2 linked regions of the Arabidopsis thaliana genome follow. The protein of the gene in region 2 interacts with the protein of the main gene of each other region in a biochemical or structural test. Each region holds a gene or a part of one and is shown on either strand. Other genes may lie near its edges. The genes, in order: AT4G39270 and NIK2.

What was found.
Region 1: the proteins of NIK2 (region 2) and AT4G39270 form a complex in vitro, tested with the Arabidopsis thaliana proteins (one large-scale study listed by BioGRID).

The regions. Positions count from the first base shown.
Region 1 is NC_003075.7:18,274,187-18,280,522, reverse strand, and holds AT4G39270 (Leucine-rich repeat protein kinase family protein), read right to left. Parts: upstream 4,213-6,336; 5' UTR 3,650-4,212; coding exon 1,755-3,649; coding exon of another isoform or gene 1,667-1,754; coding exon 1,538-1,666; coding exon of another isoform or gene 1,534-1,537; exon of another isoform or gene 1,458-1,533; coding exon 1,435-1,457; coding exon of another isoform or gene 1,397-1,434; exon of another isoform or gene 1,361-1,396; coding exon 813-1,360; 3' UTR 582-812; downstream 1-581. Other genes in the region: AT4G39280 (phenylalanyl-tRNA synthetase, putative / phenylalanine-tRNA ligase), read left to right, coding at 181-231; CCR1 (cold, circadian rhythm, and RNA binding 1), read left to right, coding at 5,565-5,672, 5,956-6,336.
Region 2 is NC_003074.8:9,278,930-9,284,937, forward strand, and holds NIK2 (NSP-interacting kinase 2), read right to left. Parts: upstream 3,932-6,008; 5' UTR 3,632-3,931; coding exon 3,505-3,631; intron 3,415-3,504; coding exon 3,285-3,414; intron 3,200-3,284; coding exon 3,128-3,199; intron 3,040-3,127; coding exon 2,896-3,039; intron 2,800-2,895; coding exon of another isoform or gene 2,797-2,799; coding exon 2,725-2,796; intron 2,637-2,724; coding exon 2,577-2,636; intron 2,421-2,576; coding exon 2,323-2,420; intron 2,223-2,322; coding exon 2,070-2,222; intron 1,975-2,069; coding exon 1,633-1,974; intron 1,556-1,632; coding exon 1,176-1,555; intron 1,083-1,175; coding exon 764-1,082; coding exon of another isoform or gene 753-763; exon of another isoform or gene 668-752; coding exon 621-667; coding exon of another isoform or gene 602-620; 3' UTR 584-601; downstream 1-583. Other genes in the region: AT3G25550 (F-box family protein), read left to right, coding at 1-109, 185-506, 602-658.

The sequences.
Region 1 (6,336 bases), on a different chromosome or scaffold from region 2:
ATTCACTCTAGGAGATTTTCAATATTGCTTTCGACGAGAGGCTAGAAAAAACATACGGTCTTTCTTTGTATATACAAGGTATGCACAAAATCTTCACTTATCAAGAAAACTTTGTGTAAACATTTCTTTGTTCTATTGGAAATATATATATTCAATCCATGTGTCATTATTTTGTCGCAGGTGGATCTCGATCTTATTAAACGGAATCCGATCTGCCGAGTTGGAATATGAGTGATATTTTGATTTATCTTTTTGATTCAAGATACTTTATTTGATTATCTCTTGGTATTTACAATTCTACCTTTGGTTATTGGACTTGACAATTCCATCTTAAACATGTGTATACTCTTAATTGCAATCTGGCTTGTCAAATTTAATTTTCACTTAGCATTTGGTTTTGTATGGTATAAAGTTTGTGAGGTGGTATTTACGATGTAAGGAATAAGAACTTAGATCAAATAAATAAGTAACTGGGCCAAGAGGCCCATTAAGTGCAAAGATGCAACGTGGTTAGATAACAGCAGCCCATTTATTAGCCTCATTCACACATCATTACAGAAACTTTTCGTTTTTTATATAATTGCCCCAAAGTATAAAACATTTCGATTCCCACCCCATACAAAACGAATTGCTAGTTTGCTACCCGAGAATATCAAAACTCAAAAGACTGGTCTGGTTTGATCATCGAAAAATATTATAAATTAACGGGAATTTTTTATCAACAAGAGATCAAATCATAACCACACATAAAAAATAATTAAAAATTGACGTCAAAAAATAAATATTGATCGTGTGTGTGTGTGTCTTTCTTTCTATACATCTTTCATACTCCGTCGACTCGACGCGCCACGGCTACTTCCTCTCGCTGACGATCCAGTCGCTAAACCCTCCGCCTGAGACAGAAGGCTACTTGTTCCCGCTGCGACAGGATCAGACACGCTCTGTCTCCAACTACCAAATATTCGACCGCTACTCGAAGATCCTCTCGAAGATCCAGTCGTACGGAATCTCTCAGATTCGCTGCTGTCTTCTCTCACAACTCTCAGTGGATTCTCCAAGGCTTGTACTATGTGTCTCATAAGCGGCCGTCTCGTTGGTTTTGGGTTAAGACAAGATCTAGCGACGATTGCCATTGCCCAGACTTCTTCTAAGAGGTCTTCGTCGACCAGAAGAGATTGGTCTAGAATGTTCATTACGGGTTCTTTCTCTTGCGATGAAATGTAAGGCATGATCTCGGTTAGGATTTTTTTGAATTGGGTTTCTTTACATGAGCTGATTCCGAGTTTCCCTGTGATAAGCTCCAGAAGTATCTTGCCGAAGCAGTACACATCGTAGGCACATGTTGCTGTAGCTGCAGACCCTGGGAATTTTAGGGATTGTTAGAATAGTTAAGAAATTAGCAAGCTTGTTTTATGCATTTGAAGATAAACTCACCAGGAACACTTTCTTGAGAAGACCTGAAGAGGGAAACAGTAGCAAGCTTGTTTGTTAGATGTTTAAATCAAAATTGGTTATATGATGAATCAGAGGCACTTACTGGGATAGTCTGAGCAATCGGGCTATTTTCCGTGGACGGCCATTGTTTTCTTGATGACAAGCTTTGCTAAAGCTTCCAAGCCTAACTTCAAACTTATCATCCAAGAGAATGCTACTTGCTTGAATATCCCTTATTGAACATTGGAAGACTCAAGATCAGTAATGAACTAATGGTGGCTTGAAAGTAAAAAAAGAGTAAAAGGAATGGTTTTTCATACCTGTGGACGACGGATGGTGAGCAATCATGGTGCAGGTAAGCAAGTCCCTCTGCTACTCCCAATGCTATTTTCAGTCTGGTGATCCAATCGAGAGATCTCAATCCGTTGTCAACTAGGGAATTGGATTTATAGAACAATGAGCTTGGTAAATCCCTATTCAGCATGTACTTGTATACCAAGAACTTATGAGTTGCGCTCTCTAAGCTCTTCCCTACGAATGGGATTATTCTCGGATGCGCAAACCGGCTGAAGAAATCCAACTCGGTTAGATAAGCTTCGTTGTTCTTTGTAGATTCCAAGCTGATTCTTTTCACAACGATCTGAACTCCGTTTTCTAGAACTCCCTTGAAAAGATCCCCAGATTGTCCTTTCTTGATCAGGTTTGAATCACTGAACTCCTTGGTGGCATTGAGCAACTGCTGATAGGTAAATGATGATCCAAGACTCCCAAAGTTTATAGAGACTCCTCCTCTTGAGGGAAGTGTTTCATCAGGAGGTAATGGGCCAACACCGTTGTGTCTTCCTCTAGGATGATTACTTGTTGATGATCTGTTTCTTCGACGGACACAGAAACTCACTGTTATTGGTAACACTATGAGAATGAGCATAAGCAATATAGACCCTCCAACTGCAGCAAGTATAACTATTTTCGTGTGGCTTAACCAGGAAGTTTTAGAACTCTTCTTCTCTTCATGTTGTCCGAAATTGTTGAAAGTTAAGCCCTTTTTTGAATAAAACAAAGTGCAATCCGACAACTTCCGCTGCTTCTCTGGGCCCTGAAGACAATTGTTGCTCAATGAAGCTCTGGTTGGCACAAAGTCAGGAATTTTACCTTCAAAATAGTTTTCTGACAGGTCAACAACTTGGAACCTTGTCAGTAAAAGTGTGAGATTGCCGTAAAACATGTTCCCGGATATGTTAAGCATGGAGACAGTAGAATCAAAACTGACAGTGGTATTAGGCAGCATGTCAGAGAAGTGATTTCCAGAAATATCTAGAAACTTGAGCTCCGGTAACGACCATAACCTGGACGGTAAAGCGCCTATGAAACCACTGCCTCTGAAGTCAATGATCTGAAGTTTACTCAGCAAACTAAACAGATCAGGAGGTAGGGATCCTGAAAGGCGATTTCCCGCAATTACCAATGTCTGCAAGTTCCTTAGCCCTTTCAAATCTGATGGAACCGAACCTGACATTCCGTTGAAGCTGAGATCAAGGTCAATTAAAACAGAGAGGTCTCCGAGTGATGGAGGTATTGAAGAAGTCAAGGTGTTACGCGAAAGATTCAGACGCTGGAGCTTTGAGAGTGCCCCAATATTAGCAGGAATCGAACCAAACACCGAGTTTGAGGAAAGATCAAGGATTGATAGATTCTGAAGAGAGGTAAGAGACAGAGGAATATCCCCATTGATCGCATTCTTTGAAAGATCAAGAACTTTGAGATGTGATAACCGAGTCAAACTTTCAGGGATGGTTCCTGTGATTGAACAGGAGCTAAGGTCCAACACCTCTAAAGTCAACAGACTCGATCCAAACAAAGCCGGGATTGGACCTGGAAGATAGAACCTTGAGGCGTTGAAGGAAGCTAGACGGGTGAGATTGACGAGAGAACCAACTGAGAATTCCGGGTTTTGATTCCCAATCCTTGTCCTTCTGAACCCTGAAATGTTGATCTTAGTTACTCTACCATTCTGATCACATTTGATGCCGTTCCAGTTCAGACAAGGATTGCCTTTTACAGGCCAATCTCTGCTTCGTAACCCAAGAGAAGACCTTAACAGCAGAAGCGCCGATTTCTCATTCAGAGAACTTGTCTGTTGCTCAAACGTTGACTCTAACAACAAGAGGAGGAATAAGAAGAAGACCAACAAGGATGTCTTCCTCAGAACCACCATGGTTTCTCTAAACCCTGGTGACGACTAGTACTTCGAAAAACTTAAAGCCATTCATTGCCTAAGATTCAATTGGAAAAAAGCTTCGCGATTTATGGAAATAATCAAATCTCTTTTTTTTTTGGGTTTCCTTCGAATCCGATCAATAAAGGAAACTTTCTTTTTGTGATTATTCAACAAAGATATATACTAAAAAAGGTTCTTCACTCTGTTACCTCTGCGACTTTCTCTGGCAATTACTTTTCTCTGTGCACTTCAGAATCAAAAACGATTCATTGTTGTTTACCAATCATTTTCTGCTGCCTCTCTCTCTCTCTAACTCTTCCATGTTTTTTTTTGTCCTAGATTTAGAGAGAGAAAGATGGAAAGTCTGATATAATACGAAACAGATATTTTTATATAATATTTGATAAAAACTTCTTCTTACAGAACTGTTCTGGACAGAGAAAGCTTCAGACTGGTCAAGAACAGCGGCCGTTCGAAGAAAAGAGAAGAAAGTATAAGAAAATAAAAAAAGTGAGAGAAGGTGGATCTTTCGTTGTATACGTGCACGTTCCCAAGATTTATGGTTCGATCTCGTGACCGAGACGCAGATACAGTAATTGAAAGTGAAGTTCTGAATACGGCGTCGTTTGAGGAGTTTGACTCTCAACGATCCCGCCCAAGACAGCTTAACGAACTCTTAAATTAATATCATTTCAAAAATACTTAAAGTTTCTGCTGACGTTTAATATGATAACCACCATTTTAGTAGTTTTGCAAATAAATAATTGAATTCCTAGGAGCTACGATGCTACTCCATTTCTGTAAATTTTGTATGACAATTATTTTTCCTCGTATTAAAACGACCAAAATATACTAATAATAATTGTGGCTTTATTATGAGCAAAATGATTTAGTTGTCACTCTTATAAAAAGTCGACGATACTTTTTCATATTACCTGCGATATATTAATAATCAGATTTCTTAAAAAAATCTTAGCCAGGTTATTTCTTGTTGAAAAAGCTCTTCTACACGCTTTAGTCAGCATTTTCAGCACAAAAATCGAAATCAAGATACTGAACCATTTGTAATTGACTTTGTATAACTACTACATCTTCATTCTTCATCCGTCTAATTTTGGTATACAAAATAATTAATCCTGTAAAAAAATAATATTCAGACAGTCAAAATATTTCAAGTACAGAGCGAGTGTATCCAAATATTCAATGATTGAAAATTGAATTCCATTGAAAGATTTATATGTTCACATATCTGCACATCTAGCTTTCATTTGAATATCACTTAACATACCAAAATATTTGTACAACAAAAAACGTCTATGCTAAAGTTTGGATATTACAGACTGTAACATGTCCACGATGCTATTGCGATAAGAATCTTTTCATATGAATTTATTGCATGTCATAATTAATGACAAAACAAATATGTAAATCCATAGCACATTATCGTCATAGTCTTTGCATATTATTTCATTTTATTGTTTTACTAATTTCGCCGTCAGATTCATTGGGCCGGAAGTTATAATCTTTCCAATTAAATTAGATAGGCCCAATAAACGAAACTCAGACCCAACTATTGTATGACATAATGACGACGAGACGAAGGACAAAATTGTCATTTAAGGAATAAAAGATATTCTTACAAAGATATTTTTTGCTCGAAACGAGGAGAAAAAATCATTAGTTATCGAAAATGCTCACATGATGTGGGCCTAACCACTAACCCAATTAACCACACATCTTAATCAGAGTAAGTTGAAACAAATCTTTCAGCAAACCCTAGAAAACATGTTTAACCCTAGTTATTACGTCACACCTGTTCTATAAATTAAGGCTGCGTCTTATCACCTCAAATCACATAAGTCTCTCTCTTACATTTTGAAACCCTAATTTCTCTTCTTTTCCCCAAAAAAAAATGTCTGAAGTTGAGTACCGGTGCTTTGTCGGCGGCCTTGCCTGGGCCACCAATGATGAAGATCTTCAAAGGACGTTCTCACAGTTCGGCGACGTTATCGATTCTAAGGTCTGTTACACGAGAGATCGGTCTCCCGGATCGAGCCGATTCCGATGATTCTGATCCTCGACGGATCTGATTCCGATCTGTTTCTCTGTTACTTGATTCGATTACTGTTACTATGTTCTCTCTCGTTCTTTGTTACTGTTACTTAATTTGTCCCATCGGTACGTTCATCTTCCTGCTTCTATGAGCTCGGAGATCGATCGATTTTTGCTTTATATTCATCGCTTTGTTTTATATTCCTTCCACGATTGTTTTTGCTGATGTGTATGATTTTGTTTGTTTACAGATCATTAACGACCGCGAGAGTGGAAGATCAAGGGGATTCGGATTCGTCACCTTCAAGGACGAGAAAGCCATGAGGGATGCGATTGAAGAGATGAACGGTAAAGAGCTCGATGGACGTGTCATCACCGTGAACGAGGCTCAGTCGAGAGGTAGCGGCGGTGGCGGAGGAGGCCGTGGTGGAAGCGGTGGTGGTTACCGCAGCGGAGGCGGTGGTGGATACTCAGGAGGCGGTGGCGGCGGATACTCAGGAGGAGGCGGTGGTGGTTACGAGAGACGTAGCGGAGGTTACGGATCTGGTGGAGGCGGTGGTGGCCGAGGATACGGTGGTGGTGGACGCCGTGAGGGAGGTGGCTACGGAGGCGGTGATGGTGGAAGTTACGGA
Region 2 (6,008 bases):
AGATACCAAACGACGATGTGTTGGAAGAGATTATAGTAAGGCTTCCAGTGAAAACCCTAACTAGATTCCAAACCGTGTCTAAACACTGGAGGCATACGATAAAGTCTAGGTAAATCAGGAAGAAATACATGTTGCATCAGAAAACAAAAGAACCCAAATTTCTCTGTCTCTATGAAGTTAGAAGAAACGGGTCTAAGCCAAGCATTCGTTACAAGACCATGAGGTTGGAGTGGTCTTTGAGTCGTCTAGTGGGAGAAGAAGAATATTTAACTAGCAAGAAACACAAAGAGAGGCGGATACTATTTTCCAAGAGTGTGGATGGTCTTTTTTGTTTATATAGTGGTGTGGACATGAAACAGCCAATTATGGTGATAAATCCAGACACAAGATGGTCTAAGAAGCTCCCTCTTGCTAGGATTCAACGAAAGAATTATTTAGACAGCAACAAGGTAGAGTTCTCTCGCCTCGGGTTTGGAAAAGACAGCGTCACAGGAACATACAAACTAGTGTGGTTACGTACCAAAACAAAGAAGAAAATAAAAGAGGAAACCTCATCGACGATGACATGCGAGGTTTTCGATTTCGTTTCTACGAAATGGAGGCGGTGATTCCACCTCCTCCTAATCATGGGATAAAGCATGAGAATATGTCTTTCTGATACCAAAACCTGTACAAGATCACAGCATACAACAAAATACACAATCTTATATATGTTTTTTACAAACCCAAAGCCATTCATATAGTTTCTCTTGTCATCTTGGACCTGATAACTCCATGGCTTGAACCAGCACCGAGGAATCATCTGTAAGATCCGAATAACGTTCAGAGGAAGAAAACTCGTTAGGTTTACTGTAACTTCTATTGGTTTCTGCTCTCTGAGAAGAAGCTTCCCATTTCTCAACAAGACCATCGCCTTCAAGCATTCTCACAACTTCAGACATCTTAGGACGGTGAATGGGAAGATACTGTGTACAAAGCAAAGCCACTTGAACCATTTCTTCCACTTCTATTCTATCGTAGTTGCTCTTCAAATCCTTGTCTACTATCTGTTCTAGCTTCTTCTCTTGTTGTAGTTTCTTTACCTACAAGTAACCCCAAAGAAAAAACCCTAGAAGTGAGTATTTTTAAGCTAACTGAAACAAGAAGAGAAAATGTTTTACTCTTTTACTTCTTACCCAATCAAGTATCGCTCCTCTTTGGTTTGCTGCTTTTCCGAATTCAAGAGCTCTCAATCCAGTAATCAATTCGAGAAGAAGAATCCCGAAACCGAACACATCTGTCTTCTCAGAAGATTGTCCTGTTGAGAGATACTCAGGTGCAATGTGACCCACTGTTCCTCTCACGGCGGTTGTCACATGCGACTCCTCATGATCCAAAAGCTTAGCCAACCCGAAATCTCCGACAACAGCTTCAAAGTAATCGTCAAGAAGTATGTTCGCAGCTTTGACATCACGGTGAATGATCTTTGGATCACATTGCTCATGCAAATACAGCAACCCTCTTCCTGCTCCTAATGCTATTCGCTTTCTTGTGCCCCAATCCAATACCGGTTTAGCTGCAAACCATTCACACGAATCGTAAACCGGGTCAATTCATGTAAAGAAATCAAAATCAAGGTGTTTAATTAACTACCTTTGAGACGAGAAGCGACACTGCCATTGGACATGTAAGGATAAACGAGAAGCCGTTCAGAGGAAGTAGTACAGAAACCGTATAAGCGGAGGAGATTCCGGTGGACGGCAAGGCTTATCATTTCAAGCTCTGTCTGAAACTGAACCTCTCCACCACCATTGTTTATATCCTTTAATCTCTTCACCGCGATGATACTTCCATCATGAAGACAACCTTTATACACATTTCCAAACCCTCCTTTTCCGACCAGATTCTTGCTGCTGAAGTTACTAGTTGCGGATTGAAGTTCTTTGAAATTAAACCTCCTTAGATTCCCTAGACACATTTCTTCCTTGTTTTGCTCTGTGTAAGACCCAAAAATTCACACACTCACATTTGTCTGGTTTCACATTCAACAGTTAACGAAAAGGGATTAAAAATGTCATTGTGGGTCTTACCATTAATGTCAAAGAATAATACTTGTTTGTTATGTCTTCTTCTCCACCAAAGAAGAAAACCAAAGCCAATGATCAACAAGCAAACACATGTCAAGCTTACACCGAAGACTACCGCGATTTTCCGGTTTTTAGTTCCTCCATCAGATGATTTATCTAACAACAACAACAACAACAAGAAGAAAAGAAAAATCAGTTTAGATATATTCTCTAGGATTCAAATATTACTTTAAAATATTGAAAATTTAGATATTACTTTGAGAACTGTTCAAGGTGATTGACATTGGCTTAGGCTGAGTCCCATTACAGTCTTTCTCAGTTCCTGTTGGACAAATCTGAGAATTGCCCATAACACTGCATAACAAGTTAAATAAAAACTATATAATATAATTAGGGTAACGTATAAAAGTGGATAAATTACAGAGAAAAGAAAAACACAATTACACTGTTACTTTCTCAGAACAGAGTAAAACAGAGCAGACAAATATTCTTTCTCGTAAATAGACTTACTTGAATGTTTTGGCAAGTGATCTTGGAACTGGTCCACTCAAGTTATTATACGACAAATCCCTGAAAAACATTTACAAAATATATATAAACACAGATTTATATATGTAAAATATAATTTAAAGAAGAAAATAAAAGAAAGAGAATGTACAAAAAAGTGAGTTGGGTCATGTTTGCCAATGAGCTAGGAATTGTTCCTGTCAGGCTGTTATTATTAACCCTCCTGCTCCACAATTTTCAACACAAAAATAATCTCTCCATAAATAATTTATATAAAAAATATGATAAAATAAACAAAACGAAAAAATGGATAAAATCATACAAGTACTGAAGATTTTTGGAGTAAGAAAGAGTGAATGGGATTTGACCAGTGAAGTTATTGGTAGAGAGATCAAGTGTTTTGAGTTTCATCAATTTCCCAATCTCATGAGGGATGTTTCCTGTTATGTAATTGTTCTGCAATAACCTGTATCTCCAAACAAAATTATTAGAAAACTAAAGTGATTAAGAGATGAAGAAACAATGTTTTAATAATTACTACAAAACATACTTACACAGTTTGAAGATTTGTTAAATTTCCAATACTTGATGAAAGAGTTCCTGATAAGTTTTGGCTTGGAGCTTCTCTACATACACACAATAGTAAAAACTGTAAACACATGATTACATATATGTGTGTGTGTGTGTGTGTGTTGGTGTGTAAGTGCTTACAGCCTTATGACAAAACCATCAGAACAAGTGATCATGTTCCAGCTACATGGATCAACTGCTGTGTCATCCCAATTCATTAGAACTCCATGAGGATCAGTCAGTGAGCTTTTGATTCCTATTAAGGCAACAACTAAAGAAGAAACAAAAAAAGAAAAGCATGTTTTAGGAAGAAAAAAGGAGAAACTGAGAAGTGGGGGAAGATTTTGTTGATGAACATTACCTTCAAAGTTAACACCTTTGTCTGTGAGTTCTGCAGAAGAAGAAGAAAGAAAACAGATAAAGAAGAAGAAGAAAGTTGAAGAGAACAAAGCATAACTCTTTTTTGCTTCTCTTCTTCCTTGCAACATCTTTGTCCGAATCAAAACTTGTTTTTCTTGAGAGTATTAATCTCTAAGGTGCAGAGTTTGAGGTTTATTTCTTTTGTATAAGAAATATTCTTTTTTTCGATTCTTTGTTTGGAGGTTTTTAAGAAAAAGATGGAACAGAGGATTTTGATTTGGAAGTATTTGTGAGTGAGAGTTAAAGAGGGAAAGAGAAAGAGAAAGATTTGTCTGCCAATTATTTATCTAATGGTCCTCTAGACTGTAAACTGGAAAAGGCCAGAGACAAAATCGGGAAATGTTTAGTTTTCAATCATGTGATAAAAAAACAGAATTCTATAAGATTTTTATGGTTTATATACTTCGCGCACACAAAAAAAAAAACTTGATTTATATTAAGTTATCTACAAATATGGGTCCATTTATTTAATTTCGTCTCTCTTACCAGAATTCGACTTCGTTTTTTACATATATGAGAATAAATTATTGAAAAAAAACTATATTGTAGTGCTTAAAATTACAAAAATGCAAAGATGGTTTACTATACAATCGTAGACACAAAACAAAATTGGTGAAAAAAAAAAAGACACAAAACAAAATATATCTATATCATAAAAAATATACAAATGAGTTTAACAATGATGAAATATTACATATGTACGATTTTTTTGGTTTAATAAATAATTTTGTTTTCTTTTAAATCAACTCATTGGCAATCGACTGTTTTCAATTTCAATTATGTATATTTGCTTTGAAGAAAATGTATTTTTCTAGACAATCAACTGTTTTAGAAAAACTTAAGATTTAATATTGAAAATAAATAATTATGTGAAATGTTGTATTGAATGTTGCATAGTTATACTGGTACATGGACAATGGTGTGAGCTAGTGGATTTACCAGCCTTGCTCTTTAAAAAGGGATGATGCTACCAAATCGAATATGTACTAAAAACAAAAAATCAATTAATATGTTTTTTGGGTTATAAAATCAATAGATATGTTACTTACTCTTTAGACTTTTTTTTGAAGTAATGTATTTGGATTCGAAGACCTGGTTGTGTTCTAAGTCTAGAGGATTAATAGACTCAACCTGTTCTCGGATGTAGGAAAGCAACAAACGATAATCAATTAGACCTAAGATAAGCCTTCATAAAAAAAAATACATCATACTATTAATCAATTAGAGCAGGTGAAAAGTGAATTTATATGGTAAGCACTAAGCACCATTAATCTGTTATTAATAAAGCATTTATATTCCGGGAAGAATAACCAAGTGGCCTCGAAGTGATAAAGTGTGAAAATTATTGTGATGTAACGCAAAGTTAAATAAACTGTGAATTATAAAATTATAATAGTGGGACACTCGTTGTGTCGATGAGATATACTGTGAGTCTGTGACTTAGAACTTTTCTTTTTCTTTTTTAATGACTCCCTTTAACTCTGTTTTTATTCCCACTCATCACAGTTAATATATGTTAATATCTTCATAACTATTCATTAATTATATTAAGATATTTGATCCTTTTTCTATCTATGCTCTAAATTCGTGCTAAAATATGTTTTGTCAACCATTTGAAATTAAATATCGTTTATCAATGTTGTTTGTTGATAATATAACATGTGCTTTCGCCAAATGGATGGTTTTCTTTTCTTCCGAATGTGACAATGTCAATTGGATATTTTAAGCGGTGGAATATTAGATGGTACTTTAGAGGGTAGAATTAGAACTTGATAAGACGGAAAACATATGATCGAAATGAAGTTAAAATGAGAAAACTACAAAACTCGAAATTCCAAAAGAAGAAATAATGATTGAGAGCTTAACATTTGGTCTAAAATAAAAGAAAATTGTTAGAGAAAACAAAAGTTTGAAAAGAACTTACCAAATGTAGTACATAATAGTTATAGTTAAGTTGATCAAGAAATTAATAATGATGCGACTTAATGTTATAAAATAGTGATTTTCCCCCATTTTGTCTTTCGATTAACATATATGGAAATTTGATATTTTTTTCTACCATGTTGTTCCCAATCGGATGTGCGTATATTATTATTTTACATGAGTCTAGTACTTCATTACTTTACTACTGCACAATGAAAAAATGATTGATGAAGAAATTATTGGATCGAGCAACTGCTAAGCTTATATACAAACACAAAAATCAAATCTTTGTCTACGCAGTGATTAGTCAACAGACAAGCCACTTTTTAAACCACAAAAGCAAACTGCTTTATAAAGCAAAAGCTGTTCTCCTCTATCTTTCATCATTACTCTAATTTCTTAGTGCATTATCATTTATTTCATATACTACAATTTTATTTTGGTTTTTTTCGGGATAATGTCATGATTTGTATGTCGTGTGCATGGATACACGTGTGATACTAAGTATTAACATAACAAATT